4 linked regions of the Arabidopsis thaliana genome follow. The protein of the gene in region 3 interacts with the protein of the main gene of each other region in a pairwise test. Each region holds a gene or a part of one and is shown on either strand. Other genes may lie near its edges. The genes, in order: AT5G07580, AT2G31730, MYB62 and AT1G66810.

What was found.
Region 1: the proteins of MYB62 (region 3) and AT5G07580 interact in a two-hybrid assay, tested with the Arabidopsis thaliana proteins (one large-scale study listed by BioGRID).
Region 2: the proteins of MYB62 (region 3) and AT2G31730 interact in a two-hybrid assay, tested with the Arabidopsis thaliana proteins (one large-scale study listed by BioGRID).
Region 4: the proteins of MYB62 (region 3) and AT1G66810 interact in a two-hybrid assay, tested with the Arabidopsis thaliana proteins (one large-scale study listed by BioGRID).

The regions. Positions count from the first base shown.
Region 1 is NC_003076.8:2,396,081-2,403,487, forward strand, and holds AT5G07580 (ethylene-responsive transcription factor), read left to right. Parts: upstream 1-3,645; coding exon 3,646-4,269; downstream 4,270-7,407. Other genes in the region: AT5G07570 (glycine/proline-rich protein), read left to right, coding at 1-249; AT5G07571 (Oleosin family protein), read right to left, coding at 486-588, 815-1,101; AT5G07572 (uncharacterized protein), read left to right, coding at 833-1,183; AT5G07590 (Transducin/WD40 repeat-like superfamily protein), read right to left, coding at 5,632-5,999, 6,111-6,218, 6,316-6,388, 6,475-6,696, 6,799-7,287.
Region 2 is NC_003071.7:13,484,652-13,493,166, reverse strand, and holds AT2G31730 (basic helix-loop-helix (bHLH) DNA-binding superfamily protein), read left to right. Parts: upstream 1-3,487; 5' UTR 3,488-3,828; intron 3,829-4,475; exon of another isoform or gene 4,476-4,571; 5' UTR 4,572-4,573; coding exon 4,574-4,690; intron 4,691-4,799; coding exon 4,800-4,865; intron 4,866-4,942; coding exon 4,943-5,008; intron 5,009-5,094; coding exon 5,095-5,139; intron 5,140-5,216; coding exon 5,217-5,384; 3' UTR 5,385-5,617; downstream 5,618-8,515. Other genes in the region: AT2G31740 (S-adenosyl-L-methionine-dependent methyltransferases superfamily protein), read left to right, coding at 42-103, 229-277, 499-748, 830-954, 1,047-1,127, 1,202-1,276, 1,384-1,550, 1,640-1,790 and 1 more; AT2G31725 (FAM136A-like protein (DUF842)), read left to right, coding at 5,776-5,904, 6,326-6,463, 6,538-6,720; AT2G31720 (B3 domain protein (DUF313)), read left to right, coding at 7,192-8,133.
Region 3 is NC_003070.9:25,599,533-25,607,836, reverse strand, and holds MYB62 (myb domain protein 62), read right to left. Parts: upstream 4,162-8,304; 5' UTR 3,996-4,161; coding exon 3,842-3,995; intron 3,754-3,841; coding exon 3,624-3,753; intron 3,530-3,623; coding exon 2,953-3,529; 3' UTR 2,656-2,952; downstream 1-2,655. Other genes in the region: AE7 (MIP18 family protein (DUF59)), read right to left, coding at 6,598-6,695, 6,804-6,849, 7,176-7,275, 7,360-7,453, 7,884-8,025. UniProt on the Arabidopsis thaliana protein: Transcription repressor of phosphate (Pi) starvation-induced genes. Negatively regulates Pi starvation responses via the repression of gibberellic acid (GA) biosynthesis and signaling.
Region 4 is NC_003070.9:24,926,351-24,932,768, reverse strand, and holds AT1G66810 (Zinc finger C-x8-C-x5-C-x3-H type family protein), read left to right. Parts: upstream 1-3,714; 5' UTR 3,715-4,019; intron 4,020-4,126; 5' UTR 4,127-4,149; coding exon 4,150-4,761; coding exon of another isoform or gene 4,762-4,833; exon of another isoform or gene 4,834-4,835; coding exon 4,836-5,156; 3' UTR 5,157-5,523; downstream 5,524-6,418. Other genes in the region: AT1G66830 (Leucine-rich repeat protein kinase family protein), read left to right, coding at 1-1,384, 1,462-2,069; AT1G66820 (glycine-rich protein), read right to left, coding at 2,347-2,676. UniProt on the Arabidopsis thaliana protein: Functions probably as a transcriptional factor that activates genes involved in secondary cell wall biosynthesis. May play a role in both transcriptional and post-transcriptional regulation. Binds to ssDNA, dsDNA, and ribohomopolymers in vitro.

The sequences.
Region 1 (7,407 bases), on a different chromosome or scaffold from region 3:
GATACATTTCTTTCAAATGTATTTCCATCCGATAAATCTTCACCGGATGCATTCTCACCCGATGTAGCTGCACTAGTTACATTACCATCTGGTAAAGATCCATTTGATATATCTCCACCCATTGTAGCTCTACTCGATGTATCCCCCCTTGGTAAAACTTCATCCGATGCATATTCATCCGGTATCAGTCCAGGAATTTTCGAAAAGTCTTTCCCTTTAGTAAAACTACAGACAATTGAATACATGTAGTTATAGAAAGAATGGATGAATTAATCTTGAAAGTTTGGTCGATACTGTTTCATAGTGTCTGATATTGATTATACTACGTTTAAAAGGTAAACGATCCTTTTTAATTATGGTCGAACTAACGATCATGAGTTTTTACTGATGAACCATTAAACTACCAAGTAAATTGTTCAAACGGAACACTGATAAATGTTATATGAATGCTTTATTTGGTCCAAATTATTTCTCCAAAGACATAATCAGTTTTTTTTTTCTTGCTTTGTTTTGCTTTGTTTTGTTTTTTGGTAAAGGAAGACGACCTGTTGCACATGTAGTTCACGTATTCTATGACTACGCTCCCGCCTGATATATATTCATAAATAGAGTCACAAATCATGAATTGTAGACGTTAATTAATTTGTCTATGCTCTCACATACGGTATTTAGTTTGAAGTTATACAGGTATAATAAAACGGTAAAAATTCAGATATTTGTCGTCACCAAGATAACCCCAAATGCTAGATCAACGCCTAAATGCGCAAACAGATTAATATAGAAAGTGAATGTTTTGTAGGTTAGTGTTACTTACTTATAGAGCCAAGTTAAGATGGTGAGAGCCGTCAGACCGGAGGTACCTCCAGCCATTAAACTTAAAGCAAGAACGGTGGCGGTAATACCCGCTGGTACGAGAACAGGGCTGAATACAAGGAAGAGCGGCATGGAGGCGGCTAACGCCATGGCTGTGCCAACTAGTGATAAACCGGCCAGCAACAAGAGGAATACTGCGGCTGTAGAGGCAAAAAACGCTATCAAAACACCCTTAATCGTCGGCTTTGGAGATCGTAATCTCTCGCGTTTTTTCTTGCGAAACAACATTTTTAATGGCCAGAAAATATTCCTTGTTTTATCGGATGGTTATGTTGTGGGATTTCATGAATTAGGAGAGTGGATTTTATGAATAGATCTAGAGAGGTATGGTCTACGTGCACGGCACGTGCTTTACCTCATGCGTAACGATGCAAGTGACTGTTGAGCTCTACGTTACCTCAATGCCTCTTCTCCTCTCTTTTTTCTGTTTCCCTAGCTAATTTTGTTGGTTTACCACATTTTTTCGTCCTCTATTCCTTGTTTCCTCGCTTTCTTGTAAAATAGTTGTAGGTATTTTGGTTTATATTGGGATATTGTTTGTGTAGGTTGGTTTGACTAATCTAGTTTTCATTATAATATGATTGAATTATAAGTTATAACCAAAATCATTTTGATTCGGATTGACTAGACTTTTTTTCAAAAAAAAATTAGTTAGATCTTGGTGTGGTTTTGATAGAGTTTGTTTACGTTGCGTATTCTTACATGTGTTAAATTTCCATGGTAAAATGAATAAGTATTGTAGCTAACTTTGAACTGTTATAAGGACCTAATTAAGGTACATAAATTGTTAGTCAGTTTCAAGTTAGGTTTAGTAAGTGTTAACAAACAGTTTTAAAGTCGAGTTCTCTCAAACTTCTTTTTTTTGATAAAAACTGCTCTCAAACTTATGGCGATCAGAATCATCAATTAGACCAAAGAGAAGAATTTTCGTTATCCGATTTCCAAATACAAGAAATTCATCAAACTTACACAAACAAAGTAACTAAAGCAATGCATTTAATATTGTTATTAAAGGTTCAGTAGCTGTAGTAGTATGTGCGAGATGAGTCACTTGATACAATTCAATTCATACTGAATAATGTTGGTGGTTGAAATAGAACAGTCTCTTCTGTTTGATGTTTCCGATCTTTTGTTTATTAGTACAAAAACAAAAAAAAAAATACTTCGTTTGCTATGTATATCAAAATCCTTAAATAATTTATTTTCTTACGCATAGATTATGGATGGATCATATTTTTCTGATAGGAGGAAAGTTCACAATTTTGAATTTTCACAACTGTTAGCTGAATGCAAAATACAGGTGAAATGTTCGCCGGTAAACTTTTTATCTGAAACTAGTTAAAACTAACAGACTCGGTAAGCATAAAAGTGATTAGCATATCATTGACAACCAATAATGGATGATGGCGCAAAGACATCCAAGTTAATCATAATCTATGTTCACATTATTATAGAGATTACTATTATTATTTTGGACAAATCTATGTTCATATTATTATTTATGCAAAAAGAGGGTGGATTAGGTTTAACTGTTGTGGAGCCCTAAAAATTAATTAAGAATCCAAAAAATCAAGTTGCTTCAAATCATTTCCCACCAGGAGAGGCCTACCAGGAATACAACTTGATTGAGCTGTCTTTCCTCTTTTAAAATTTATCCATTAGGAAGCTTTTCATATAATTTTTTTTTTTTTTTTGGGTATGAAAATAGAAAAGTCTTTTGAGATTAGTATCCAAAAAAAACAACGATTATTTAATCGGACGTTGTTTGATCAGAAATGGTTTACGAGAAAGTCGGCATATTATTCGATTTTTCATTATTTTCTCGATACATTTTTTTCATTCGAGTCTAATTCACGTATGTTAAAAAGTTATTTGATGTACAAATAATCCAGATTATTCGACCTAGTCGTATCAGAGTTTCGAGATAAAGTTGTAAAGTTGGTTAGAAATCCTTATGATATCAATAGATCAAATAACCCTAGTTAAAGCATCAAAAAATCAAATCCACCTACGTAAATGCTTAGAGTTACACTCAAATTTTGATTTTTTAATGACATCTCTTCATATGCAGAGATTGTTTTTATGTGGAAACACATAGACTAAATGGCTTATCTTTAAATAGAAAGTAAAAGAGTGGAAGTGAAAGAAAGAAAGAAAAAAAAAAACCAATTTATTTGTCATTTATTATTCTACAGAATGGCAGAATGACTATGTAAAAATTTGATTCTGTGAAATTTCGTCATTATGCATAATACCAATAATTATAAATAGCGAATAAAAACAAAAACAATAATGGGATGTTTAGCAAAAAAGAAATAAAAAAGCAGTGCCGTTGAGAATCAAATGGTTTTTAGTAGTCAGCATCAAAGGTAAAAGACAAGTTGAGCATAAATCATATGAGAAGATTCATCGTTAGAACCAAAATGTAAAAAAGAAAGAAAAAAGCTTAGCTTTTGATTACAGTTTTGTGCAGTGTGAAGTGTCACATCACACAACAACTTGGGTGAAGGAAGGTCCTTTCAAAAAGTTGGACGTTGTCTTCATAAATTTGTATTAATTGATCACAGACTCATGACCCCATCTCTAAAACCACTAAGAGAGCGACAAAACCATAGCTTTTTTTTTGTGTCCCTACCCCATCCATGGCTGCTAAAATCTTGTGATTACCTTCTTGTCTCCTTCCTCTTCTCTTTCCCTCTTTTATATAAGAACCAAAACATCCACAGCTTTTGTTCCATCATCACTTGCAGATTCTTTCTCTCTTTCGTAAAAATGGCGAGTTTTGAGGAAAGCTCTGATTTGGAAGCTATACAGAGCCATCTCTTAGAAGACTTGTTGGTTTGTGATGGTTTCATGGGAGATTTTGACTTCGATGCTTCTTTTGTCTCAGGACTTTGGTGTATAGAACCACACGTTCCTAAACAAGAACCTGATTCTCCAGTTCTTGATCCGGATTCTTTCGTCAACGAGTTCTTGCAAGTGGAAGGGGAATCATCATCATCATCATCACCAGAGCTGAATTCATCGTCATCAACATATGAGACTGATCAGAGTGTGAAAAAGGCAGAGAGGTTCGAAGAAGAAGTAGATGCTAGACATTACCGAGGAGTGAGGCGAAGGCCGTGGGGGAAATTTGCAGCAGAGATTCGAGATCCAGCAAAGAAAGGATCAAGAATCTGGCTAGGAACATTTGAGAGTGATGTTGATGCTGCAAGAGCCTATGACTGTGCAGCTTTCAAGCTCCGGGGAAGAAAAGCCGTGCTCAACTTCCCTCTTGACGCCGGGAAATATGAAGCTCCAGCGAATTCAGGAAGGAAAAGGAAGAGAAGTGATGTGCATGAAGAGCTTCAAAGAACTCAGAGCAATTCATCTTCATCTTCCTGTGATGCATTTTAGCATATTAAGAGTGTGAGCAGTTTCCTTAAGTTGTATAAAGTAATTGTACAGAGGAAACGAATTGTGTAGGTTTAGTGTGCTTGCAAGTTGCAACAAATGTGTATGGATGTTCTGTTTCTTCATGTCCCTAAGATTTAGAAACATCTTCTTATTTCCAAGAAAGTTATTCAGTTTCCAGGTCTCTAAACAACCTAACTAGTTATTAGATGTTGTAATCCATTAGTCAATGGTTTATGAAACAATCAAGTTCTCAATCTCACACATAGAAACTTCACTAAAACAGCTACAAAAAGTGAGTGTACCAAGAGGAGAAGGGGAAGTGAATCAAGATGAGCAAGTTACATGAATGTAGCAGGCTAGCAGCAATGTTTGTCTTCATAGGTTAGGTACAAGTCAACACTCAGTGATAAAGGAACTGGACCACAAGCTACAGAGACTTGAAAGAGAGATGCACAACTTGCAAATGCAGAATAAACAAGTCAACACTCAGTGATAAAGGAACTGGACCACAAGCTACAGAGACTTGAAAGAGAGATGCACAACTTGCAAATGCAGAATAAACAGAGCAGAGATATTTAGTTAAATATCTACTTCTCTCTGTTTACTAAATGGTTGAGTATTAATAACACTGAAACCAGGATACCATTTCCTAATCTCTGTCTGGTTTCCTAGTTTCAGTGGTATTTTTCCGGTCTAGACCCTTGCTGGGTGGACGAATCCTAGGCCAAAATGGGATCTATATATTTTTGAAGTGAGATATCTTATAACATCCATAGTGAGCTAACCTGGTTTGGTTTTAGATTGAAGAGACTTTCTTCAAGGGTTGACTGAGTTGTCAATGCAAGGCCCACCATATTGGACCTATTGGTCACCACTGCAAGAGTAAACTTGTAAAACAGTTACAAACAATGGCATATACCAGCATATCCCATTAGTACATGGAAAAGGCAGAACAAGTCACTCTTCTCTAATCAATCATTCTCCATAGTTCCAACGAAATACTTGAAGAAACTCAATCATATCTATCTCACTTTTGACAAGCATAACACTTCTTTAGTCTGAATACTTTTCATGTTACTACAACATAATGGATGCATCATTATTCATTACCTTCCAACACAGAGTTTTGGTGGATGCCTTTATCTGTTGAGTCCGCCATCGACCAACATCAAGCAGGAGCCTATTTCCTGAAATGAGAACTTTAGTTTGTTGGGTCAAGGACTCAACGGTTACTCAAGAAAGCTTCTTTATACATTGAAAAATGTTTTTAACATTCACTAGTAAATGTCGCGGAAAAAAACACTCCTAAAATTGAAAGACAAACAAGGCTGAAACTTTTACAAAGAACCACATAAGTAATCTTCAGTCATCAGAACTGTAGTCGCTGGACTCAGGCAGAGACGGGACCGTGGCACAACAGAACGCATCTTTGTCTTTGAGAAGGAGACAGCTTCCATCAATGTTCCATTTGAGGTCCGATATGGAGAAGCCCGGAAGGGGATTGCATACACAGAAAGCACCCGAGGGAGTCCACATGTAAAGGTGAGAGCTTCCAGTGCACAGGAGGAGGCGTGTGCAGGTTGGGTCCCACACAGCTGCTCGGATGGGTTCCTTCTGGACCAGGATGGCTGCAACCTCGAGGAGGCGCATGTCCCATATCCACAGAGCAGTGGGCATACTGTCGTTTCGTGTGCATATGTACTGGCTGTCTTTGCTCCAAGCTAGAAGGCCTGCGAATATTTCAAAAGAGTTTAGCTTTGGAAGTTAAAAACAAGAAGGAAATTTCGAATATCCGATTGCAGTTTCCAAGGTTGCATTTGGTCGCAGAAGAAAGAGCTTACCGACTCCTTGTTTTGGGTTAGGCTTGTCCGCAGGAGGTTTCTGGAAAGGAAAAGCTACCGGTAATTCCATGACTTCATACCTGACACTTATATAGCCTTCTGAAGCATCTGCACATAGAACCACAGAAGAAAACAAGATAAGGTTACAAACAAGAAGAATGGTACGGAAGTTTTCGCTATCAGAAAGTTTTGGAATCGTTGTTACCATAATTGCTTGGCATAAAGTTTTCATCCAACGATAACTCAGACATATCAAGCTGTAATGGTTCATCGATTTCCTAGAAAAATCATGTCCACTAGGTTAAATACACGCCTAAATCAGGCTGTTACCAACCTTATTGTCAAAGAATGGAAGTGGATTTACCTTGAAAATAGCCGCAGAACAGGGCGCACGAACCGTTGATAGGTGTAAGAACTCAGCGAATGTTTTCCAAGTAAGGTGATTCAGGACCCGCAACATTTGATCATAGCTACCAATGGCAAGAAACTGACCACACGGAGACCAGGAAACAGTCTTGACACCAAGTCCACATTCATATGCCTGGTACTTAAACAGACACCTACCATCTGGAGAATAAATTAGAACCTGCCCAAAAGGTACAAATTTTAGAGATATCTCCAACAAACCAAACATAACAAAATTCCAATAACTATCTAAAAATAGCATCAATACCAAAACGATACATACCTTATATTCAAGAGGCGAATCCCACACTACAATAGAACTATCATCAGGTGACCACTCAAGATCAGCCAAGTCCAAGGTATCAACAGCAAAGCTACCCATTATCTCCCATGATTGACAAGACAAAAGGTTAACATAATCCTTACAGTCACGCCGTGTACATATAGCCGCAAACTTCCCATCTTGATTGAATGAAACTCCCTTGGAACCATGCTTTGGCCACTGAACATGAACACACGCCGTGTTTAAAAGAGACCAAACCGTTAACCGCAGCTGAAACTCTGACGTAGTGAGTATATGACGGCTATCTGGACTCCACCTAGCGTATGAAATACCAGCAGGACCTTCATCAATCTTGCAAGTCCATTCTGGTTGAGTCAAAGACCAAGCTTGAATCATCGGTTTTTTATAAAGACCACAAAGAATGTACTCTGAATCAAGAGCCCATTCTATGTAGCTTATTTTATCTAAGCAAGAAAACAATTGCACAACCTGCATTCACATCCATAACATTGAAGATTAGTACATAGAAAGAAAAAAAAACTTCAACGACATTTATCATCTCTAAGGTTAAAAGTTCCAAAATTTAGCAAACCCAAGTTAGTATAATCC
Region 2 (8,515 bases), on a different chromosome or scaffold from region 3:
TACTTATTGATCGATTTTATCTGGTAACTTATTCATCTCAGAATGATTTATCTCCAATGGTGACACAACTAGCTCCCAGAAATGATGATGAAGCTCGCATTCCGTATGTTTATCGGATTTTTTTTTTACTATATTCTCCATGATTTTTGGTGCAACAGTAATCCTAACTCATTTTGTTTCCGCCATTATTGCTTGTTAATTAGTAGTTGAATTGAATTGGTGCTGTAGGTATATGATGGCAAGTGATGGGATAAAAAAGCGTGATACTGTCCACGAGGTATTATTACTAGATATACCCAATTAATCACTTAATAAAACTGTTATTTGTTGTCTCTTCTATTTCTCGCCTTTCACAAATATGATCATCGTTTCCTTTATTGATCTCCGTGATTAGACTTTTATCCACCACTATTTTAGCAAATTTTAATACTACTGATTGGTTAGAATACGTAGTTATGGGGATCTTTTTTGTTTCTTACTATTCATTTCGATTTGTAGGTTACATCTCCTATGACTGGGAAAGTGGTTGTTGAAGATGTGGTTTATGAAAGCGCTCCTAGTAATTTAGAAGACTTGTCTACTTCTAGTGATTTGGCATTTCGACGACTTGTATTCAAAAGGACTGAGGGTTTGATACAGTCTGAAGCTTTGCTTGTAGAGGATGGTGAGATTCTTGAACAGTCTCAGAAAGAAAAAACTAAAAATGTTTCCCAATCGAAGCGAAAGGGAAATAAAAAGCAAAACCAAGGTAAAAATCGTACTTCTGTAAGTGTTTTGATACATTTCAGGTGAAAAGTTTCATGATCTTTTTTACATGTATCCATTTCAGAACCGAGCAGGCCTCTTATGAGGGTCTCTCATGATTATCTGGCTAGCTCTTACCACACTGGAATTATTTCTGGATTCACATTGGTATCTTCCTACTTGAAGAAGGCTGAGTCATGCGGAACGATGGTGAGCATTATTAAGTTGTGGCCTCACGGTGCAACCGATCTGAATCTTTTCTTTGCCTTGTACTGATCCAGAAATGTTCTGATGCTTTTCAGGTTAAGACTGTTGTAATTGGTCTTGGAGCAGGATTACTTCCCATGTTCCTCCATGGATGCTTGCCATTTTTCAGTATTGAGGTAATTTCAGTTTAAAGGATTAATCAAGTTGAGTATTTTCTATTGCCACTCATATTCTGTATCCTGTTGAATAGGCGGTTGAGCTTGACCCAGTAATGCTTAGTGTTGGCAAGGATTACTTTGGTTTCACACAAAATGATCGCTTGAAGGTAAAATTCTCCCTCTTTACAACAAAAGTGCTGGCTAAACTTTAACATGTTTATATTCTATTCTATTATATGCACCATCACTCAGCTCGTTCGCATTCTTATAATAGGTGCATATTGCTGATGGGATCAAATTCATTAGAGATATAACAAACTCTGAAGCTTCGTCTGAGGAATCGTCAAACATTGGCTCAAATGGAGATTCAACCACTCACAATACACAAGGTGGAATTTGTCCTGACATTTTAATTATAGATGTGGATTCAGCAGATTCAAGGTAAAAGACATGGCAAGTAAATTCACATATCTATGAATTTACCCACATGGTAAGCCTGATTGTTTTCTTGTTTGATCTCTTGTCTGCAGCGGCGGATTAACCTGCCCTGCATCTGATTTTATCGAAGAGACATTTCTTCTTTCGGTTAAGCAAGCTCTCCCTCAGCACGGTCTTTTCATAGTGAATTTGGTCACGAGATCACAGTCCGTCAAAGATATGGTAGTATCAAGAATGAAAAAGGTAAAGCAAATGTGATTCATTCCTTGTAAATTCTCTGCATATTTTCACAAATCTGATCTGATACTATTGCACGGAAATTGAGTCATAGAATTGATCTCTATTGTTTTGTTTTTTGCCAAGGTTTTCGATCATTTATTTGGCCTGCAACTAGAAGAGGAAGATGACGTAAACGTAGTGCTCTTTGGGCTTTGCTCTGAATCTGTAATCAGCGAGAACGATATTCCAGAATCTGCAGTTATACTGGAGGGATTGCTCAAGTGCCAGAGATTGGAAACGAAGCAAAGCATCATAGACGCTACAAAGAAGCTGAAATGCTGGAAATAAAAACATTCTTTATTATTTCGTTTTAAAAAGACGTGTGAGATATATTTCTGTTATAAGTTAAGATTGAAATTTTTGAGACTATATTATATACAATACACCTAGTTTCGTCCATACGCAAATGGAAAATGAAGCGTGGAGTTTTTTTCATAACCTTTATGATTGTTAGACCTACCAACTTATTGAAGCATTCAATTTGGATGATAGTGAAGTTGGAATGTAAGTTAAACATCAATGTCTTGATTAATTTTGTGCATTTTTGGGAACTATCCGTATTGTTTCTGATTTGAGTGATCTTCCTTATTGTTGCTAAGAAATGCTCGAATGGTGATTAGCATAATTGCTGTTTATTCATTGGAGCTATAATAATTATGGTTGTAATATTGTAATTTGGGAAAGAAAGCCTTTGATACAGGCCGATTTTGGTACGTACGTAAGAGAGATATAAATTGAAACACCTAAACCAAAATCTGGTCGCCGCGAAGACAAAAGAAAAACATTTGTGGCAAAGAAACAAATTCAGAAACCGCGTGGGTCCGATATGGAACGCTGATCAATTGGACATTTGTAAACATTTCAAATATTTTGCATGTAATCAATATTGTTGTTATATTTTTTGCCTTTTAGTTATAGTTAGGTTTGTTTTTTCTGTTTGTTTGGTTAGATTCAACTATTTGTTTATGCTTTTCAATTTTGGGTTAGTATTTAGCTGTTTACTTTGGAGAAACAAAAGAAGATAGATTCTGTTCCATATAAACAAAAAGCTGTGTCGTTGAAACTTGAAAATGTGAATATACTCGGATATCAACCAAAGGGTACGCTGCATTAACCAACCTCCCTCGTAGAAAATTTCAAAGAAAGGATAACAAAACAAGAAAAAGCACAAAGTTGAAAAAGAAGTGACAGATGCAGAAGAATTGGTCAAAATCATTTTGACAAAACTACATAAAAAACAATCAAATGTCACTTTCAAAATTATTAGCTTATTTATTATTTTATTATGAAAATAATGAAAGCGACTTCTATCTGGGACTGGTAAAAGGACCTCTCTCACCATTGGTTGTACATTAGCTGTCAAATTTTTACATTTCCATTACATTCCCTAACTCCAAATATATACACTAAACTAAATTCTTCAAGTTACTTCCTAATTACTACTATAGTAATTATTTCCTAACCGTCAAATAGTACTGAATAACACATATAATATAGTTTCGATTGATTAAGAGATTTGAATTAAACAGAATAAAGTTTTACGATTATATATTCTAACAATTTATTTGTCTCACAAAAAAATCTATAGATTTAATGAGAATTAAATGAAGAGGACGAAAGGAAAAACAAAATGAAGAAAAAGACATATGAAACGTAGTCCCCTCTTTTCTTTGCTTTCTTCTCTACATAAAACTAAAACTCCTCTCTTTCACGACCCTTTAAGTAACGACGCCGTTTTCATCCAAACACAAACCTCTGGAATCGTGTCACCGTTGGAGCTCCGGCTTCATTAATGGCTTTCTTCAAGACCTGAAGACAAAAGAAAGTAAAAATATATATACACTAGAGAGACCAAGATCCTCGTTTATGGGTTTCATCGTGTCTTGTGCTTAGGGTGACATAAATACCCATTTAGAGAGCTTAGACCAAGAAGTTTTAGAGTTTGTGAAGTTACTTGTTGGTTAGTCTGCTGTTTCTGGCAAATGCTGAGTCTCTTCTCTCTGTAAGTTCTTTTTTCTTCATTTACTCTGTTTTGTTCCCCATTTTTGGTCTTTTTGACTTAACTTAGAGTATTTTAAGGCAAAATAAAATCATGAATCTTTTGGTATTTTTTGTTCTCATCTTCTTGTGGGGTTTTTCTATTGAAGTTTGCTTAGCTTTGAATCTTGTCTAATGGAGCTAACTCGATCCAAAATAAAAACACGTATAATGATTAACTAGTTCTGCTCATTAGATGAACTAAATTAATGAGTTAATTCCGTAGTTTCATGCATCCTACAATGTATTGTCTATGTATGGAAGCAAAGTATGATATCATATTTAAACATCTATGATTGTGCTACTAAACTTTAAATAATACTTTAAGCTGATGTGATCTTATATGGATAACCTCTGACCATTATCTACTTTCTTTGACCATTGCTCTTGTTTTCTAATCCAAAAGTCGTATCTTCCAATGCATTAGTTGGTCCAAACCTAGATTTGCATCCCTTAATTTGTAGTAGTTAACATCTAATTTTGATGTTAAAACCAAGACACCACTTTGTTTGTCTGGTCTGAGAATATCTCAAGGCGTATAGTTTTGTCCTTATGACGCTTGCAAAAGCAAGTTGTTGAGTTGTAATCTTATGTTTTTTTCTGCAACTTGCCTTGGATGAAGCCATGAGATTATCTTTATAAATGGTAGCAAGTAAACCGGTTTCTTATGTCGAAAAACCGATCATTTTTGTTTTGTTTGATGACAAGGAATGGAATACTCTAGAGACTCGGCAGAGATGATGATGGAGACTAAGCGCAATGTCTACTCGCTTGAAGATAACAAAATTAAACGACACAAGTCATCTGATCTCTCTTTCTCTTCCAAGGTCTTGTGATACATCAAAATCAAAATTCATTGTGGCTATGAAGCTACCGGACATTTCTGTACCAGCATGCTAATGATCTTGAAACTTTGTTGTTCTGTGGTTTAAACAGGAGAGGAAAGACAAATTAGCAGAACGTATTTCAGCTCTTCAACAACTAGTTTCCCCTTACGGAAAGGTACTACTTGGTCCGAAATAATCTTTCTTACACGCTCTTTGTCTTCTCTAGCCATGTTCAAGTCTCTATCTATGCAGACCGACACTGCATCAGTTCTTCTAGAGGGAATGCAATACATTCAGTTTCTTCAAGAACAAGTCAAGGTCTGCTCAAGTTTTCTAATCAAATACTTTTCATTCATTCACCTCCTCCAATCCAATGATGATTATGCTTGATTTTCTCTGTTCAGGTTCTAAGTGCTCCTTATCTGCAAGCAACCCCTTCTACTACAGAGGTGAGCTGAATCTATGATCTGGATCTCGTTTACTTGGATCACAATGCAAGACTGATATTTTCCATCTCTGTAACTAGGAGGAAGTGGAAGAGTACAGCTTAAGAAGTAAAGGGCTATGTCTTGTTCCATTGGAGTATACATCAGAAGTTGCTCAAACCAATGGTGCTGATATTTGGGCTCCTGTGAAGACTCCAACATCTTCTCATGCTTTTAATCTCTCGTCTTCTAATTCGCCCTTTCAATGAGCTGCTGCTAAATTCTCTGTCTCAAGACTAATGAAAATTAGCCAAAGCTTTGGTCTGATCATGTATTGATGGAGAGACCTTGAAGTCGGTGATGGCTGTTTCTGTTATTTTTTACTGCTTAATCCCAACTCTGTGGTGGCTTCTTGTAACAATTGATTCTAATGCGAAGTTTAACGGACCGGTCAATGACCGGAATTAGCTTCCTGTTTAATAAAGTTTGAATTGGTGAAAAAGAGTTAACCGGTTTAGAGAAACCCGGGAAACTTAACCCGACCCAAAATTGTCAAACCCGTTTTGTTTGCGGCTATTGAAGGATCTTCTATTGAAGAGAGCAGCTAGCTAAAACCCTAAAGCCCTAAAATCAAAATTACGCTAAACAGAGAAGGCGACAATGGATCACATCGCTGCGGCGGAAGAGCAAATCGTATCGGAGAGACTTCGAAGAAAGCTTGAAGAAGTTAATGTAGCTGCTCAGACTCAGCTTTCTCCTATCCAAGATCACATCAATTTCACCCTTCAGGTATATACAAAAATCTGTACTTTTCGCGAGCTCAGCATAAATTCTCTCTGATATAACAATTTAGCAATGTTAGCTTCTGAATATGGAATCTTTATTGGTTTGATACAATGCTAGTTTCAAATTTGATGAATTGAGTAGGTTCATGAAAAAAGTCTGAAAATTTGCATTTGGGTTCGTACTATATTCGTCTTTAGACACTATGGATTAGGTTCACGACAATTGCTCTGGTTTAATTACTATATTGTGCTCTGTAGGATATTCGATAAGTAGGCGTGTCTCGTTGCATAACAATTGCTCTGCTTTGTCTTCAGAAGCATGAGAGTTATTAACACCTTCTCTTGTGTTTTTGGGTTGCTATATTGAGTTATATGATCCGTTGATTCAAATTAATTAAACCCTGACAACGATATCATTGTTGCAGCAAGCTTATTTCAAATGTGCATATGAGTGCTTTGATAGAAGAAGAAAGCAAGAGGAGATAAGTAACTGCGTCGAGCACTGCAGTGTTCCCGTTGTCAAATCTCAACAGTATTTCGAGAACGAAATGGCTCAATTTCAGGTAAAGATATCTGCTAAAAGATGATACATAGTTTGCTGTGTATAAAGACTGATTTTTGTTGAATGAATGTATAGGAAAGATTGAACAGATCACTGGTGGTGTGTCAAGACAAGTTTGAGGCCTCAAAGCTCCAGAAGATAAGGCCTGAAGCGGTTAACGAGATGGAGAGTTGTGTGCACAAATCCATTGAGGAAAATCTCAATACATTACCACATATTGTGCAGAGAATGAAGACAGCATTTAACATAACCAACTAAAAGCTCTCGTGAAAAACCTTGGATTCCAGAACTTGACTAGCCATATTGTTTGAAAAGACCTTTTCTTTTGTCTTAATATGATCTACAAATTTGTTTTCCTTTTTCTTATATTAAGTTTTAAAATTTGCCACTGTTTTGGAATAACTGTATTTGCTTGTTCTTCATCTTCCCTAGCGAAAACTTTAAAACTCTATAAAAAAAAATTGAGGATAAATACATGAATTTAAAGATTGAACCGAACAAAAGAGACTAACCAATAGAATAGAAGCAAGTAATTTAGTGAATATCTAAAACTAATATAAAAATATATAGAGATTATCACTAACAAAAAAAAATAAAAAATAATAGAGAGTTATATATACCTTTGTTCGTTTGTGAAAGGAATTGACAATCAGAATCATATAAAAGCAAGACTATAAACTCCTCTCTGCCGCTTAACTCTTTCTTCTTGTCTCTCTATTTTTTATAACAATGGTGAGAGGAGATGATCAACTTAATGGTTTGCAGGGAGGGAAGAGAGCGTTAGATATTTTATGTGTAGCGACGGAGAGAACGGTTAGCGCTTTTGCATATGAGGAAATAGGAGAAACATCCACTGAAGGTGATAAAAGGAGGGAGAGACTGAGAAGACTGAGAAGATTAATTAATTACAGTCTGAGCACAACTATGAATTCCAGCTTGAGCAAACGACTGAAGATTGATGAGTGCAAGAATCAAGACCCGGAACAAAACCCTAATCGTGTTGCTTCTTCTCCAAGTTCGTGCCATCTAGAGTCCAAGAGGCCTCAAAAAGTGGTTTCAAACAAACCGGTAAGAAACAGAAAGCCGGTTATAGTGACAGATGAAGATAGGACACCGACGGAATGGCTGATTGACGTGATGAGAGAAGTGAACGGTATGGATGCAAAGCTGATATTTGTGAAGGTTCTTCCCAATAGTGATGTCGACGAACTTCAGACACGTCTTATGATGCCCTGGAAGCAGATACTAGATATGGACTTCTTAAACGAGGAAGAGTTAGAAAAAATAGATAGACATCACAAAAAGATTAGTGCCAGTGACAAAGGAGCGGATGTGATCGTGGTGAATTCTAAGGGTCTACAGAGGAAGCTTAAGCTCAAGAGATGGGATATGACTTCCACTTCCAACTACGTCTTAGGTTTAGGATGGAACAAGGTCGTCACCGATAACATTCTACAGAGAGGCACTAGGCTTCGGATCTGGTCCTTCCACTCCCCAGACATGCTCTTTTTCGCCTTCGTTCTTTCAGATCCAGATCCAGCTCCGACTGAGTGCCTAAATTTATTGGCTAAATTGTGCGAGGAGACGACTTGTCTCGAGGCTTTACAAGAGGCAAATAGGATGAGCTCACTCGTCTCGGACACAGAGCTGGACCTCGAGCTCCGGTTGTAGTTAAGAGTTTCCAGCAGCAAAAAACAGCTCTTCTAGCTCTACTGCCGAGGTTTGCCATGCAAGTATTTTTTTTTCAGACACTCGATGTTGAGTTAAAGTTTGAATATGACTTGACAATTAAGTCATTAAATCCTAGAGAGATTAGGACTAGAAACTTTAGGAGATATCTAAACAATATTTATGAGTTATCTAAATATTAGTTCTATTAGGATTAGGATTAGGATTGTTTAAGAGATCTCTATATAAGGAGATACCAACATGTGGTATAACTTATGAGTTGAGAGTTTAAGTTTTGAGTAAATTTCTTAAACTAATAAAGAGAGTTATTCTTAAATCTTTGTGTTCTTGATCATCTCAAACTATATTCGAAGATGGCTTTTTT
Region 3 (8,304 bases):
TATTTTCTACCTCTACATTGCTCAAAAGTTTAATAATTGGTTCGACGAATGTGGATTTTATCGTGTATGAATATTCTTTAAAGAACCATAGAACCACATGGAAATATTACTCGATTTAGGAAGGAATAAGGTGCCCTTTGCCTTTGGGATTTAAGGATAATGCTGCTGACGTTATCGTACTCTTTCACTATACTTGATTCTATGCTCTCTACATGTGTATTAGTGCAGAGTGCATATGGCCTCACTTATCCTTCAATTCCTTTTTTTATTTTTCTTAAATTGGGATGGTTCATTGTTTCTATGCTCTCTACACAGTCGACATGTGAGATACGAGGTTGGTTCACTATTCACCGAAACATGACAATCTATTCATGTCTTAGGTTTGACTATAATAGTTATGGAAGTGAAGATATAATCTGTTTGAACAATGTGAACAAGATGAACTCGGAAACACGGAACAAGAAAATGAGCATATATATATATATGCGTAATACGTGTAACGTGTGGTTGTAAGATTTGGTGCCAAAACAACACTGTTTACTTTACGAGATGGTCATAACTTTTGTTGTAAAATGTCTTGTTTCATGAACTAAACCAGCTGGTGTTCTTAAGTTGGTGCCTCTTCTTAAACAATAATCTTGACTTTTGACTTTCTCTAGTCTTTCATACTAACCTACGGCCTACCTAACCATACCAACGTTAATATACCAGTGCCACCCACTCTACTTCCCCATTATTTGTAGTAAGACTTTTTTTTTTTTTTTTTTTTTTTTTTTGGTTTGTAGTATTTCTTAACCAAAAAGTAATTTAAAAGACATATTTCTCCAAACTAAAGATTAGAACATTGTACGTTAATATATTTTGTGTGAACTGAAATATTTGGTCTTTTTCTCCCTGATGTTCTTTTCGGGTTCAACCGATGGAACTATCGATTTCGGTTCATAACTTTTGATATTTCTGCGTATCTCCAAATTTTTGATAAATGAGTATTGCAGTAGAAATGTTAGTTTGGCCCATCTCGACCTTAACAAGCCATACAGTTCTACGACACTTTAAATTGAACTTGCCTATTTTAAGATCAAGGTTTGGTCTCACTATCTGCCTGGTTGTATGGTCGACCAATCCGCAGATATATAAACTATTCAGACAATATAAAGATTAAGCTTGGTGATATGTAGACCAAACATGACTTCACTTTATTTGTTTCCCAAAAATTTTTTGAACATGAGAATTTCGATTACAGTGATTAAAATAAATGTGCTTGTTAAGTTGGGAAAATATGATTTTTTTTGGTTTCACTCTAATACCATATCAGTCGAGAAGGTCCGATCGATAGCCCACTTTTTATTTTGTGTGGGTAAGGGTAACTGGAGAAAACCGCAAAAATAGACACTTAACTACTTGACTAAAAACATTTTTCAAAATATATATGATTTTATGCAATTAAAATTCCACAATATATAGATCATTGTCATTGGAAATGAATTTTGAAGATGCAAATGATTTGGCCGCGTGGATTATGTTCTTACAAAATTTGAAATTTTTTTGCAACTAACATATATCCGTAATTAATGAATATTTGACCTATACAGTAATGTTTCTATTCAAATTGGGTCCACGTTACTCATGTCTTTTCTAAAAGTATTTGGCGTTTATCCACCAGTTTTAGATATTTAATCTTTAAGTTATACAATTTTATAATTCCACGTCCATAGCAGGACCATCTACGTTTCTGGATTCGATCATAAGGAATTTTTTTTTTTTTTTTTTTTGTATATTGTCTGAAATACTAAAATCTTTACATACACAATGAGTGTGATCTATCGTTCATAACCTCTCAAAAGTGCATCAATGTTTGTTCCAACTTTTAGTGGTACCCTTTGGGTTCAAATCATTGTGGAGTTTCCATGTACTTATGAAAGGCTTTTGAAGTGACCTCCAATAATTCGATCCCATTAACAAGACTTCTCCAAAGCCACCTTTCTCTATCATTTTAGTTGAAGCTCTTTTCAGATAATTATAATAAATAATTGATGGGTCCTTTGTCTCTATTATCTTCTTGAACCAACATTGATTACTGCTGGTATACAAAATGCGCATATATTAAAACTTTTGTATGGTTTGTCTAAATGCGTATATATTAAAACTTTATGTAAGAGCATTCAACTATGTAATCAATTCTTTTATTATTATTTATGATTCGTTAATTCCACAAAAAAACGATTTATGTCAATCAAGCCAAATGCCCTGTAATATTGTCAACGATCTTACAAAGAAACACATCAAATTTGGTGAAGGGACAGATGGTTGAGTCTCTATCCCCATCATTTTAATATCTTGGATAGATCGACTCTCCTAGCTTTTGGGTTATTTCACCTGTTGAGGTGAGATTAGATATGTTTTCTTCTCACTAAAATCCACACAAGTCTCAAAGATTTCAAGACAAGAGACTACCCTTTACTATTTACTCTTAAGTCTAGTCATGTATAAAATTGACCTGGTTAGTTCATAAATTGAAGTTCCATACACTGATACAAGATTTCTTGAATTTAAAGACTTATATAACAAACAAACAAGCATTATAAATAATTATCCAAACATTGACTTTGATCACCAACTAAGAGGAAAAATTTAGACTAATTTAACATGTTTCAATTCCAATCCGAAAAGAATATGATTAAAGTTTAAAACTTCATAAAATTCCATACATTGATAAAAGATTTCATGAATTCAAAGACTTGTACAAGAAACTATCATTATAAATATTTATCCAATGACTTAGTAAGTACTCGCAACAAAGAAGATACAAATTTAACATGTTCTAGTCTCCAACCCGAGATAATATGGGTAAAAGGTTCGAAACTTTTTGCTTAGTTAAGCAAAAGAAGTATATTAGTCCATATAATAGAACCGTAGTGGTAGGCTCTACCATCTCATCTCTTGACGACTTAATTACTCCCTAAACTGCCAAATGTCATCCACATTCCACATGGGATCTTGTGTAACATCCTCGTACGCTGAATAACCATCCGCCACGTGACATTCCATTGAGATGTCCGAGTTTACCATGTAATCCTCCATGCCAGGAACATATCCTCCGAATTCTTGAACATTGCCTTCATGGAAACACATCGAGCCATCGATGATATTGGTGTTGCTTTGATCCATAAAGTGTGGAACTGTTGTTAGATGAGACATGCAAGTAGAAGTTGAAGAAGAACCGTCTATGTTGCTGAAACCCGAGTAATCTATATCTTTTTGCATACTTAAAGAGTCGTGAGATTGAGAAGGAAGAAGAAGAGAGTTGTTGTTGTTGTTTTGGGGACAACAATAAGTAGTAGTAGTGGATGAGTTTTGTTCCATCTTCTCGATCAATCTAGGGACCCAAAAACTACGAACAGCGTCAAAGAACTTGTCGCTGTTAGATTCGATGTTGAGTTGACGAGCTTGTTTTTGAACTCTTGTTCTCCAATAGTTCTTGATCTCGTTATCCGTTCTTCCTGGCAAGTACTGTGCAATCTTGGACCACCTTAGATAACAAATATTCGTTTAGGAAAAAAGAAAAAAAAAACAAAAAAAGAAAATAAAAGACTCTTGAGATATGAAAGTGACTCATCACTCACCTATTACCCCATTTAGAGTGAAGCTCAAGGATCAAAAGCTGTTCTTGAGGAGTAAGATTCCCTCGTCTTATGTCGGGTTTCAAGTAATTCAACCATCTCAATCTACAACTTTTCCCAGTTCTCTTTAGCCCTGTTCTCATTTTTGTTAAAGATAGTGATTATATAGTAAAGTCAGAGAATCTAACTAATAAACCAATATCAAGTTCTTGATTAATTACCAGCACATTTGGCGACGTGATTCCAACGACCCTCACCGTTATGGAGGATGTAATTTGTGAGAAGTGTGTCTTCCTCCAAAGTCCAAGGCCCTCTTCTTAGTTCTTCATCTTCACTTTCTTTGAAGCTCTTCTTCTTCTTCATCGAATTTTCCATACTTAGTTTAAGTTTCCTAATTACTTAATGATATTTGGTTTGTGGTGTTTTCGTATCTTTTAAGCTCTATGCATGCATGACTGTATACAGAGAGAGAGAGATAGACTTTTAGGTGCTTTGAGAAGTGAAAGTGATTCAACAGGTTCTTGGGAATTTATAGACTCGTGGTCGTGGTATTGGAAAATGTTGTTACTTTAGCCATCAGCTTGCTTTTTTCCAATGAAAAATTAATTATCACACGTTTCCAAATTAAAGTAAATTGTTTTACTAAATTAGCTTCTCTTTTTAACTCATACAAAATATTGTTATTTTTTTAACATTGCCAAGGACATTTATACATTCTAAAATTGTCAAAAAACATGTTTTAACTCATTAGTATTTGTTATCACAAAATATCTCATTGACATTTTCTTAATCGCGTCTCTGTTTTCATCTTACGCATGCAATTTTTCTGAAATTATTTTTCGAGCTACCATTGTTCAAAAGCCAACACATATATGATATATGCAAACATTTTTTTTTTAAATCATCTGGTTTTTGTTTCAGTTAAATATGACTTTCTTAAAAAAAAAAGTTTTGGATTAGTCGAATCCTGCGATGAACCCTGGTCCAAGTATATAATTCATTAGAAGCATAGAATATATCGATACAGTTTCATAAACTTTTTTATGCGACGATGAAACAGAAATGGAATTTTGGTGATTTAACTCTATGGATTAGATGTTCACGTGAAAAGAATATGGAACAGAATTTTGGAAGAAGAAAGTACGATTTAGATTCTTAAATACTAAATTAACTATACAGGAAAAGTTTACAATAGTCATATTCATAATATGCTATAGAGTTCATTTTTAACTCTTACCTCTGTGATAGTGTATACTAGTCATTTTTCTTTCTTCTACTTCTAAAATTGTCTTTATCCCAACTTTGGCTAACAGTTTTTATAAAAATTTTGGTTTTCTATTTGGTAATGTTGCTGAATATTGAGATTGAACATAGTTTAACATAATTATTGGTATGGGAACAAGAAGCATACATGATACATGTGTCTTGACTCGAGACAAACAAGATATTACAAAACCTAATAAACCACTGTCCCACAAATTATTGATTAAATAAAAATTGTACCAAAACAATCCAAAAATTGGAATAAACACTCCAAATGTTTGATCAAGAGTCAAGACTTTTTGTTTAGTAGCTTTGAGCTATTGTGGTCGATGTGGCATCATCCGAATTCATATCCATATATTACATATGGTGTAATGAATGATATAAATTCTTGTAACTTTTATGTAAATGGTAAAACTAGAAGACAGCTATTTTTAACAACAATTTTCTAGAAGCCAGCTAATTTATGCGGACTTAGTATAGCATATTATCCTTTCAAACTTTGAATATTCAAAGATTCTTCTTCCTATATTAGTTTTCATTAGCTCAAATCGTATTGTATAATATTTTGTTAAACAAATAATAATTTTGGAAAAATAAGGAAGGGTCGTGTCGCTTTACACCGGCAAGTCAAAAAATGTCTATGTGCATGTATTAAAACTTATGGTATTGCTAATAACTCTCACTTACTGTTCAACCCAATCTTTTGAAGATGATAACTCCCAAAAACCAAAACAACATGTAAATAAAGCCTAAAGACCAGGAATAAAGAAAACAAAGTCGATTTGACATTTGTGTCTTCATTATCCTCTCTTATTATATAATCAACAATGACATAATTGTTACTATGTTATTAGTAACAGTCATTTTTGTTCTATAGAATTACAGTTACATTCATTTCCTTCAAATATTATCCATATAATTGGACTAACGTAAACAAATTTAAATATTTTTTGTCGTCTACAACTCACATACGCATATTTTCAAATTTAAACTCTACTTATAGCATAACAATTAACGACGACAATAATCAAATCACGAGACTACAAAAGAAGATGATTGATTGTTACCCGATTCTCGAGTTCGTCAACATCTACAAGATATATATGATTGCAAGATTCTATCGGAGGGTTACAAGTTATGCAACTAGGTTGATCTTGAGACCAAGTTGCTATATACAAGATTCTTGTTAAAGTATGATTCGAGTCCCATACATTATACAACGAAACAATAAACATCATATACTCTGGATAATCGAAAACCTAAAGATAAGTTGGGACACAAAAAGAAAGTGTGTGTTTCAAGTTTACATATCCTTTCCAAAAATATCCATCTCATTATCGTTGTTTCCTTTTTCATATATCAATACATCTAAGAAGAAGAAGAAGAAAACAGCTTTTTGCTTCATAAACAATTTGCTGACTTTGTAATAATGCATTAAGAGAGAGAGAGATGTGAAGTTCCCAACTTGATTGATGTATATGTACTTTGAAATCGAAATGACACGTCAACTTTTATTAAAAAGAACTTGTGTTTGAGACTTTATTGAAATGATTGAGAACAAACTTGAAATCAGAGTAAGTATTACAATGCAAGTCCTAGTCGATGTGATGGATCAAAATCTTTGCAAATAAAACAGAGACATGTATTGATAGTGTAAACTGAGACCACCAGGCTTGTGTAAATTACTTGCTCACAAGAAAATAAAAGCAATTCACTCTTCTGATGGCAGGCATTCATCAACCATCTCCACGAGGTTTGGATTCTCTAGTGCAGCCGCCACACGTTCTTTATCGTTTAGTTGTTTATTCACTGCATTTTAAACACCAAGAAACCAGACATCATGTTAAAGAAGTACACTCGATGTAAAGCAAAACATGCATACCAAAAAAGATGGATAGATATTGAAAAATGACATACATGCATCTTCTGTTGCATGAGAACCAGGTGCTACCCTTATATCAATCTGAAAAATGAAGATTCGTTTCAGAGGACTGAGGCACATAAAACATTGTGCGAGTGTGTTTTAAGGCAGTCCTAACTATATATAGTAGAGGCTAGGGCTATCTTCTCTTCGCAAGTATCAAGAACAGTTGATTAAGAATGAAAAATTAAAAAATTTCTCTGCCTCATATATCATCACAAGGAGAACATGTGTTGGATCTCAGTTACGTTCAAACCACTCTCGATAATGTATAAATCAGAAAATGGGCTCAGAAGATCATCTTGACAAACTTACAGGAAAAGGGAACCGGAAAATCTTAGAAATGAAATAACAAGAAAGCTTTGTACCTTGTATCGAGAAGGAAGGCTTCGTAGAAGTTTCACACGGACACAAAGACCGATAACGGTTGCCATGCTACAATGTTCGACAGTTGGAGTGAACGTAACCCTGAAAAGAAATGGTAGAGCTCAACAGATTGGCTCAAAGGAACACTAAAAATCCATAACAAAACGTTCAATCCCAACATTTTACCTAACATAACTGTTCTCATCATCCACTTCAACTGAGTCTTCTGTAACTACTCTGAGATCTTCCAGAGTATTAGGATGCTCTGGATCTTTGATATCTCTTATATGATTTGTGTATTGTTAAAGAAAACAACAGAAATAATCCAATATCATTCTGTATCAACTAAAACATAGATTCCATTTGTTCACAGATTACCAAACCGATACCACGCATAATTACAAGAAATTTAGCATTCGAGAACAAAAGATTCATAGGTAGGCTTTAAGCTAAGAAGCATGTCAAATGGTTCCAACACCTACTTCGAAAAGATATGCATATGAGAACAAAAGATTCATGACTTCTAATAGTGTAAAGAAGCAAACTTCAAGCTAAGAGGCATGTCAAGTTGTTCCAAAACCTATGCATACACTAGCTACTCTTAATTTCAGATGCTAATAGCTGTAAGACGATAATCACATCCTCACAATCACACACAATCAAACCAATTCACCAATTAAGGTTTGCAATTAGAGTAGTTCTAAGAAAACTTGATGAAGAAAGGATATCAAAAATCTCAAGTTGATCAATTGGTTCTGGTGTAAGCTCATCAGTAATGCTTGTATCAGTACGAAGACGCCTCTCTTTCTTTGGGTAAATGATAGGGTTCTCATTAATCAACCCAGATACCATTTTTCTTCTCCCTGCCAAAAATTGAGTTACAGAGACTCGTAAAGCACGAAACTTTTCAATCGGAAATTACAAAACCCTAAAAACCCTAAAATTCCCAGGGAAGAAGCAAGCAGCGAATTGAAAACTAAAGAAAGATACATACCGGAATCGAAAATCAATCAATCAGCAAAGTTTTAAGATTTAGTTCGATTAGAGAAGAAAGAGGCAAAGATTTTGCGATTTTGAGAAATTTGTAAGAAAATTTAAATTTACAGGAAAAGAAAAATCGGATATGGGCTT
Region 4 (6,418 bases), 670 kb from region 3:
AACGATCAAGGTCTTGCTCTTCTTTCCTTTAAACAATCCATACAAAACCAGAGTGACTCTGTTTTTACCAATTGGAACTCTTCAGATTCAAACCCTTGTTCTTGGCAAGGTGTTACATGTAATTATGATATGAGAGTTGTCTCGATTCGTCTTCCTAATAAACGTCTTTCGGGTTCTCTTGATCCATCCATTGGAAGTCTCTTGTCCCTTCGTCACATTAACCTAAGAGACAATGACTTTCAAGGGAAGTTACCTGTGGAACTCTTTGGACTTAAAGGGCTTCAAAGCTTGGTGCTTTCTGGAAATTCTTTTTCCGGGTTTGTCCCAGAAGAGATTGGTAGCTTGAAGAGTCTAATGACTCTGGATCTTTCGGAGAATTCTTTCAACGGTTCGATTTCTTTGTCGCTTATTCCATGCAAGAAGCTGAAAACGCTTGTTCTTAGCAAGAACAGTTTCTCTGGAGATCTTCCAACAGGGTTAGGTTCTAACTTGGTTCATCTTCGGACACTGAATCTTTCTTTCAATCGCTTGACTGGAACGATCCCCGAAGATGTAGGAAGTCTGGAGAATCTGAAAGGTACACTTGATCTTTCTCATAACTTCTTCTCAGGTATGATTCCAACAAGTCTTGGAAATCTCCCTGAGCTTCTCTATGTCGATCTTTCTTACAATAATCTCAGTGGTCCGATACCAAAATTCAACGTTCTGTTGAATGCCGGTCCAAATGCTTTCCAAGGGAACCCTTTCCTCTGTGGATTACCGATAAAGATTTCTTGCAGCACAAGAAACACACAAGTAGTTCCTTCTCAACTATATACAAGAAGAGCCAACCATCATTCTAGACTCTGCATCATCCTTACAGCCACTGGAGGCACAGTCGCCGGAATCATTTTTCTTGCTTCATTATTCATCTACTATCTCCGAAAAGCATCGGCTCGTGCAAACAAAGATCAAAACAACCGAACATGTCATATAAACGAGAAACTGAAGAAGACGACAAAGCCAGAGTTTCTCTGTTTCAAGACTGGGAATTCAGAATCTGAAACGCTAGATGAGAACAAAAATCAACAAGTTTTCATGCCAATGGACCCGGAAATCGAATTTGACCTCGACCAGCTTCTAAAAGCCTCGGCTTTTCTTCTAGGGAAGAGCAGGATCGGGCTTGTGTACAAGGTAGTTCTTGAAAATGGATTAATGTTAGCCGTTAGACGATTAGAAGATAAAGGTTGGCTACGGCTCAAAGAGTTTCTAGCTGATGTCGAAGCAATGGCGAAAATCAAGCACCCTAATGTCTTGAATCTCAAGGCTTGTTGCTGGTCTCCTGAAGAGAAACTCCTGATTTATGATTACATACCAAATGGTGACCTTGGTTCTGCAATTCAAGGTAATTTTAGTGTCAAAATCGCATAAATCTATGACCATAGTTAAGATTCAAGACTGATTCATAAAAATTTATGACAGGTAGACCTGGTAGCGTGTCATGCAAGCAACTAACCTGGACGGTCCGGTTAAAAATATTGAGAGGAATAGCAAAAGGATTAACTTATATTCATGAGTTTAGTCCCAAAAGGTATGTCCATGGACATATAAACACAAGCAACATACTTCTAGGACCGAATCTTGAACCGAAAGTATCCGGTTTCGGTCTAGGTCGTATCGTCGACACGTCTTCAGATATCAGATCAGACCAAATCTCTCCCATGGAGACAAGCTCACCAATCCTCTCTAGAGAATCATATTACCAAGCTCCTGAAGCAGCTTCAAAAATGACTAAACCGTCTCAGAAATGGGATGTGTATTCATTCGGTTTAGTGATACTCGAAATGGTAACCGGAAAATCTCCGGTTAGTTCAGAAATGGATTTGGTTATGTGGGTTGAATCGGCTAGTGAGAGAAATAAACCGGCTTGGTATGTTCTTGATCCGGTTTTAGCTCGTGATAGAGATTTGGAAGATAGTATGGTTCAAGTCATCAAGATCGGTTTAGCTTGTGTGCAGAAGAACCCAGATAAAAGACCACACATGAGAAGTGTATTGGAGAGCTTCGAGAAATTGGTAACTTCTATTTAATTATTATTAATTAATGAAAAGTAATAATTTTAATTAGATTATGTGTTTACTTCATAATTTTCAGATTACTTCATAAATTTCATGTGATAATTTTTATGGTTTTTCTGTTAATCATTCATAATTGTGATATTATTATGAAAAATAAAAGGACACAAGGGAGGATATTTTTATTGAACTTATATAATTAACAAAACTGTTAATACAGTACAAAATTAACATAATGCTTTAAAAATCTTTTACCCAAACCCGACCCGGAATTATGAACCGGAGCTTTTTTTCATAGGTCAAATCTCTCTTTGATGTCATCGAAACTGTACCCGCCGCCAACTCCAAATCCGTATCCAAACCCGAACCCGATACCACAACCAATACCGAATCCAAGAACCACGTTAGAATGGTCAAGTCCTTCAGAGGCACCTATTCCGAGCCCGCCGGAGAGACCAATGCCGATTCCAGCGCCGCAGCCAATGCCGCCGCCGATTCCGGGACCGACGGTTGTTGTCTTGATGTTATCGATTTGTGTACGGAGGAATCTGGTAACCGGAAATTCTGATTTCCCGGTTTTGACGTCTGGTTTACGGCTCCAGAGTTTATTAGTTGATCCCATTGGTTTTGTGATTGGGCAAATGACGATCACTGAATTGTGAATTTATGAGTGATGAGAAAATCAGATAAGATTTGAGAAAAAAGATGAATATGCGTTGAGGTATTTATTGGGCTTATTGTCGCATATATTGGGCTTTAACCCATTTAAGTCTCTACAGATTCTCTCCTATTTATCAGTTTTTTTTAATGATAAAAGATACACATGAGATACAAATTCTTCAAGAAAATGTTAAATACAGATTTGGATTAAGTTATATGATATTTTGTTTTTAAAATGTCGTAGAAAGGGTAAGAAGGTAATTTGGGCAGGGTTGTTGGGTTAGAAGGAAGGAAACATTTTCTAGTTAGTTAGCTACAACGAAAGATTTTGATTGAAGTATATTACACATAGGAAAGAAAGAGGGACCATAGTTAGTTAAAGTTGTGCTCTTTAAGCAAACAAAACTCACATATATTCCTTACCTTACTACGGTCGTTAACAACATGAAACTAAACATACATGCATATATCAAAAAACCAATTTAATCATCAATTCATTAACTATTCTTATTCATGATTGGCCCAACCAAACTTAATAAAATGACCTATTCTTCTTTATTTTTGTTTCTTCAAACACACCAATACATACTTCCTTATTCTCCAAGTTACAAACAAAACCTCCCCTCCTAACAAACTTTTTGTTTCCATCTATTTTTTTTTTCAAAATAGATTTTTGCTTGAGGTTCATATTTATATACTTGCTTAATGAATATATTATTAATGTTTTAAGCTATTAAATACTCGAACTAGTAAACCTCCTTTGGGATGGAAGATGCATGTTATTGACTAAATATGATCTACCAAATGGATTTAACATTTTTTATGGTGAATATTGTCACTATAATCTTAAGCTTAAGAAACTATACAGCAATATAAATAGAATATTAAATTTTGTTCTCACTGTATGTGTAAAACTAAACACTAGTTTTGTTGTTGAAGTTATCTAAAAAACAAATAATATTCTGTTACATAGAAATCTTTAACGGTTCTGAAGTTGGCGCGAAAGTGAAAGTAGGTGAGAAATATTCCTCTACACTTCACTTAACCATGAAGAAGCAATTCGTTATCCAATTAAATACACTCGCTTCTCAAACAGATCCTTAAATAATCTCATCGTATGGTCTAGATTAAGTAGCGTAACAATCTTCTCGTAGTCTCTCCCGCATATTATCTTTCTCTCTTTCTTCTTCCTCCTCACCTCTCTGGTTCTCTCTATATATATATATATATACAGAGCATCGTTCATATCTTAATTTCACCGCTCTTTCTCTTTCGCTTCTCTGAGAAGTTTCAAAGCTAATTCAGGTACTCTCTCGCTCTTATTATCTTCTCTGGGAAGTTTCAGTTTCCGATTGTGATTTTGTAGATCTAAACGGATTCAATTTTGTCAATTTCTGTGTTATCTTCTTCAGGAAGCTTTCGAGAAATTGCAACAATGGAGAAACTCGCGGCGTCTACTGTTACAGATCTAGCTTGCGTAACGGCGATAAACTCATCGCCGCCTCCACTATCACCGATCTCTGAACAAAGCTTCAACAACAAACACCAAGAAGAGTTCGCCGCAAGCTTCGCATCACTCTACAACTCAATCTTCTCACCGGAATCTCTCTCTCCTTCTCCTCCGTCCTCTTCCTCACCACCATCTCGCGTCGATACAACTACAGAGCATCGTCTTCTTCAAGCGAAACTTATCCTCGAGTACGACGAACTCAACGAGCATTACGAGCTTTGCCTTAACCGTCTTCAATCTCTAATGACGGAACTTGACTCTCTTCGTCACGAAAACGATTCTCTCCGCTTTGAAAACTCAGATCTACTCAAACTTATTCGTATCTCTACTTCATCCTCCTCCTCCGTCTCTCCTCCGGCGCCGATCCATAACCGTCAATTCCGTCACCAGATCTCCGATTCTCGCTCCGCGAAGAGAAACAATCAAGAGAGAAACTCGTTGCCTAAGAGCATCTCCGTCAGATCTCAAGGATATCTCAAGATCAACCATGGATTTGAAGCGTCAGATCTCCAAACGAGTCAACTCAGCTCTAACTCGGTAATTCTCACTGTAATTTTAAAATTTAAAATTTGTTTTTATTTGATTAATGACGTCATAAATGTTTTGTGAAGGTGTCTTCTTCTCAAAAGGTGTGTGTAGTACAAACAAAAGGGGAGAGAGAAGCATTAGAGCTTGAGGTATATCGTCAAGGGATGATGAAGACGGAGCTTTGTAACAAATGGCAAGAGACTGGAGCTTGTTGTTACGGCGATAATTGCCAATTCGCTCACGGAATCGACGAGCTACGTCCTGTGATTAGGCATCCACGCTACAAAACTGAGGTTTGCAGAATGATGGTCACCGGAGCTATGTGTCCGTACGGTCACCGTTGCCATTTCCGTCACTCACTTACTGATCAAGAGAGGATGATGATGATGATGCTTACTCGCTGATCTGGAGAAGAAGAAAGGTCATTGAAAAAGGGTAATAATTAGTGGTTGTGTACAGATTTCAGATTTGATACCTTATAAATATCGTAACTTTTCTGGGTAATGAATTGGGAAGAAACATATTTGCTTGCAATAGGAATAAGGAAGGGAAAGATGTTAAGTAAATGTTTGATAGGATTATAGGAATATAATTAGGGATGGATAAGAAAGGAGAATTGAAGAAATGTGTGGTTCTCTTTTATACTTCGAGATGTTAATTCTTTTGATATGTTGTTTGTATTCTCTTGGATTAAGCAGGAGAGACTTGAAAAGGATGTTAGATTCAACAAAGATATGAAATTTATATTGATAAAGTTTTCTACTTTGTTCATAAGTATGCAACTTTCTTCCCTAAACTGTTGTGCTGCTATAGTTTTTCTCTTTCTAATTGCTGCAGTGGTGGTAATACATTCATGGGAAAAGATTGATTTGGTTTGTTGGTTATCTTGGTTTGTGTATTTATGTGTAATCTCTGCTTACTGGCTTTCAAGTTTCTGTTTTGCTGATAAACATAGACTAAGATCTTAGGATGGGCATGTGTTAGTTTATGTCGAACTGTGTGTTTTGCTGGTCTTACCATTTGGAGAAGAATGCAGTGATTGTGTCGGATGATGTATTATGTCTCAAGTTGTTCTGTTTATGGTTGGCAAGAGAACAGCAATTTTCTCTGCAGAAAACTGTTTCCTGACGATTTTGTGACTAGAAGTTGTAACTAGTTTGTTCCTGCCGTCCGCTAAAGAAAACTTGGTCTAAGTCATAGGATCTGTATTGTATGACTGTATGTATTAGTTGATCTAAAACTACTTGTTTTGCTAAAATGGTTTCAACTTACAAGGTCGATGAAGTTTGTAGAATGTCATTGGGCTACTTACCAGCTGGAAGATACATTGTGAATCTTTAAGAGTAGGAAGATCGAGTTGGGTTAGATTTGCCTTTCATATGGAGGATTCTTTGTCTATTGGTTAAATTTGGTACTAACAGTGGTATTAACTGGTAACGTTACCAGTATATGTTATATTGCTTTTTACTATATTAGACTGTTTTCGATATCAGTATGCTTGTTTGATAAGCTAAAGTAAACTGTTGTGCCTTGAAATCTAGGTTCTGGAAGGTCAAATACATGCAATTTGACCATTTTCGTTTTAGAAAGAGTGTTTCTTTAGAGAAAGATTAAATTTTACCACTCTCTCAGATTTAAACAGTCTTTGGGTAGTATTGATAAAAGA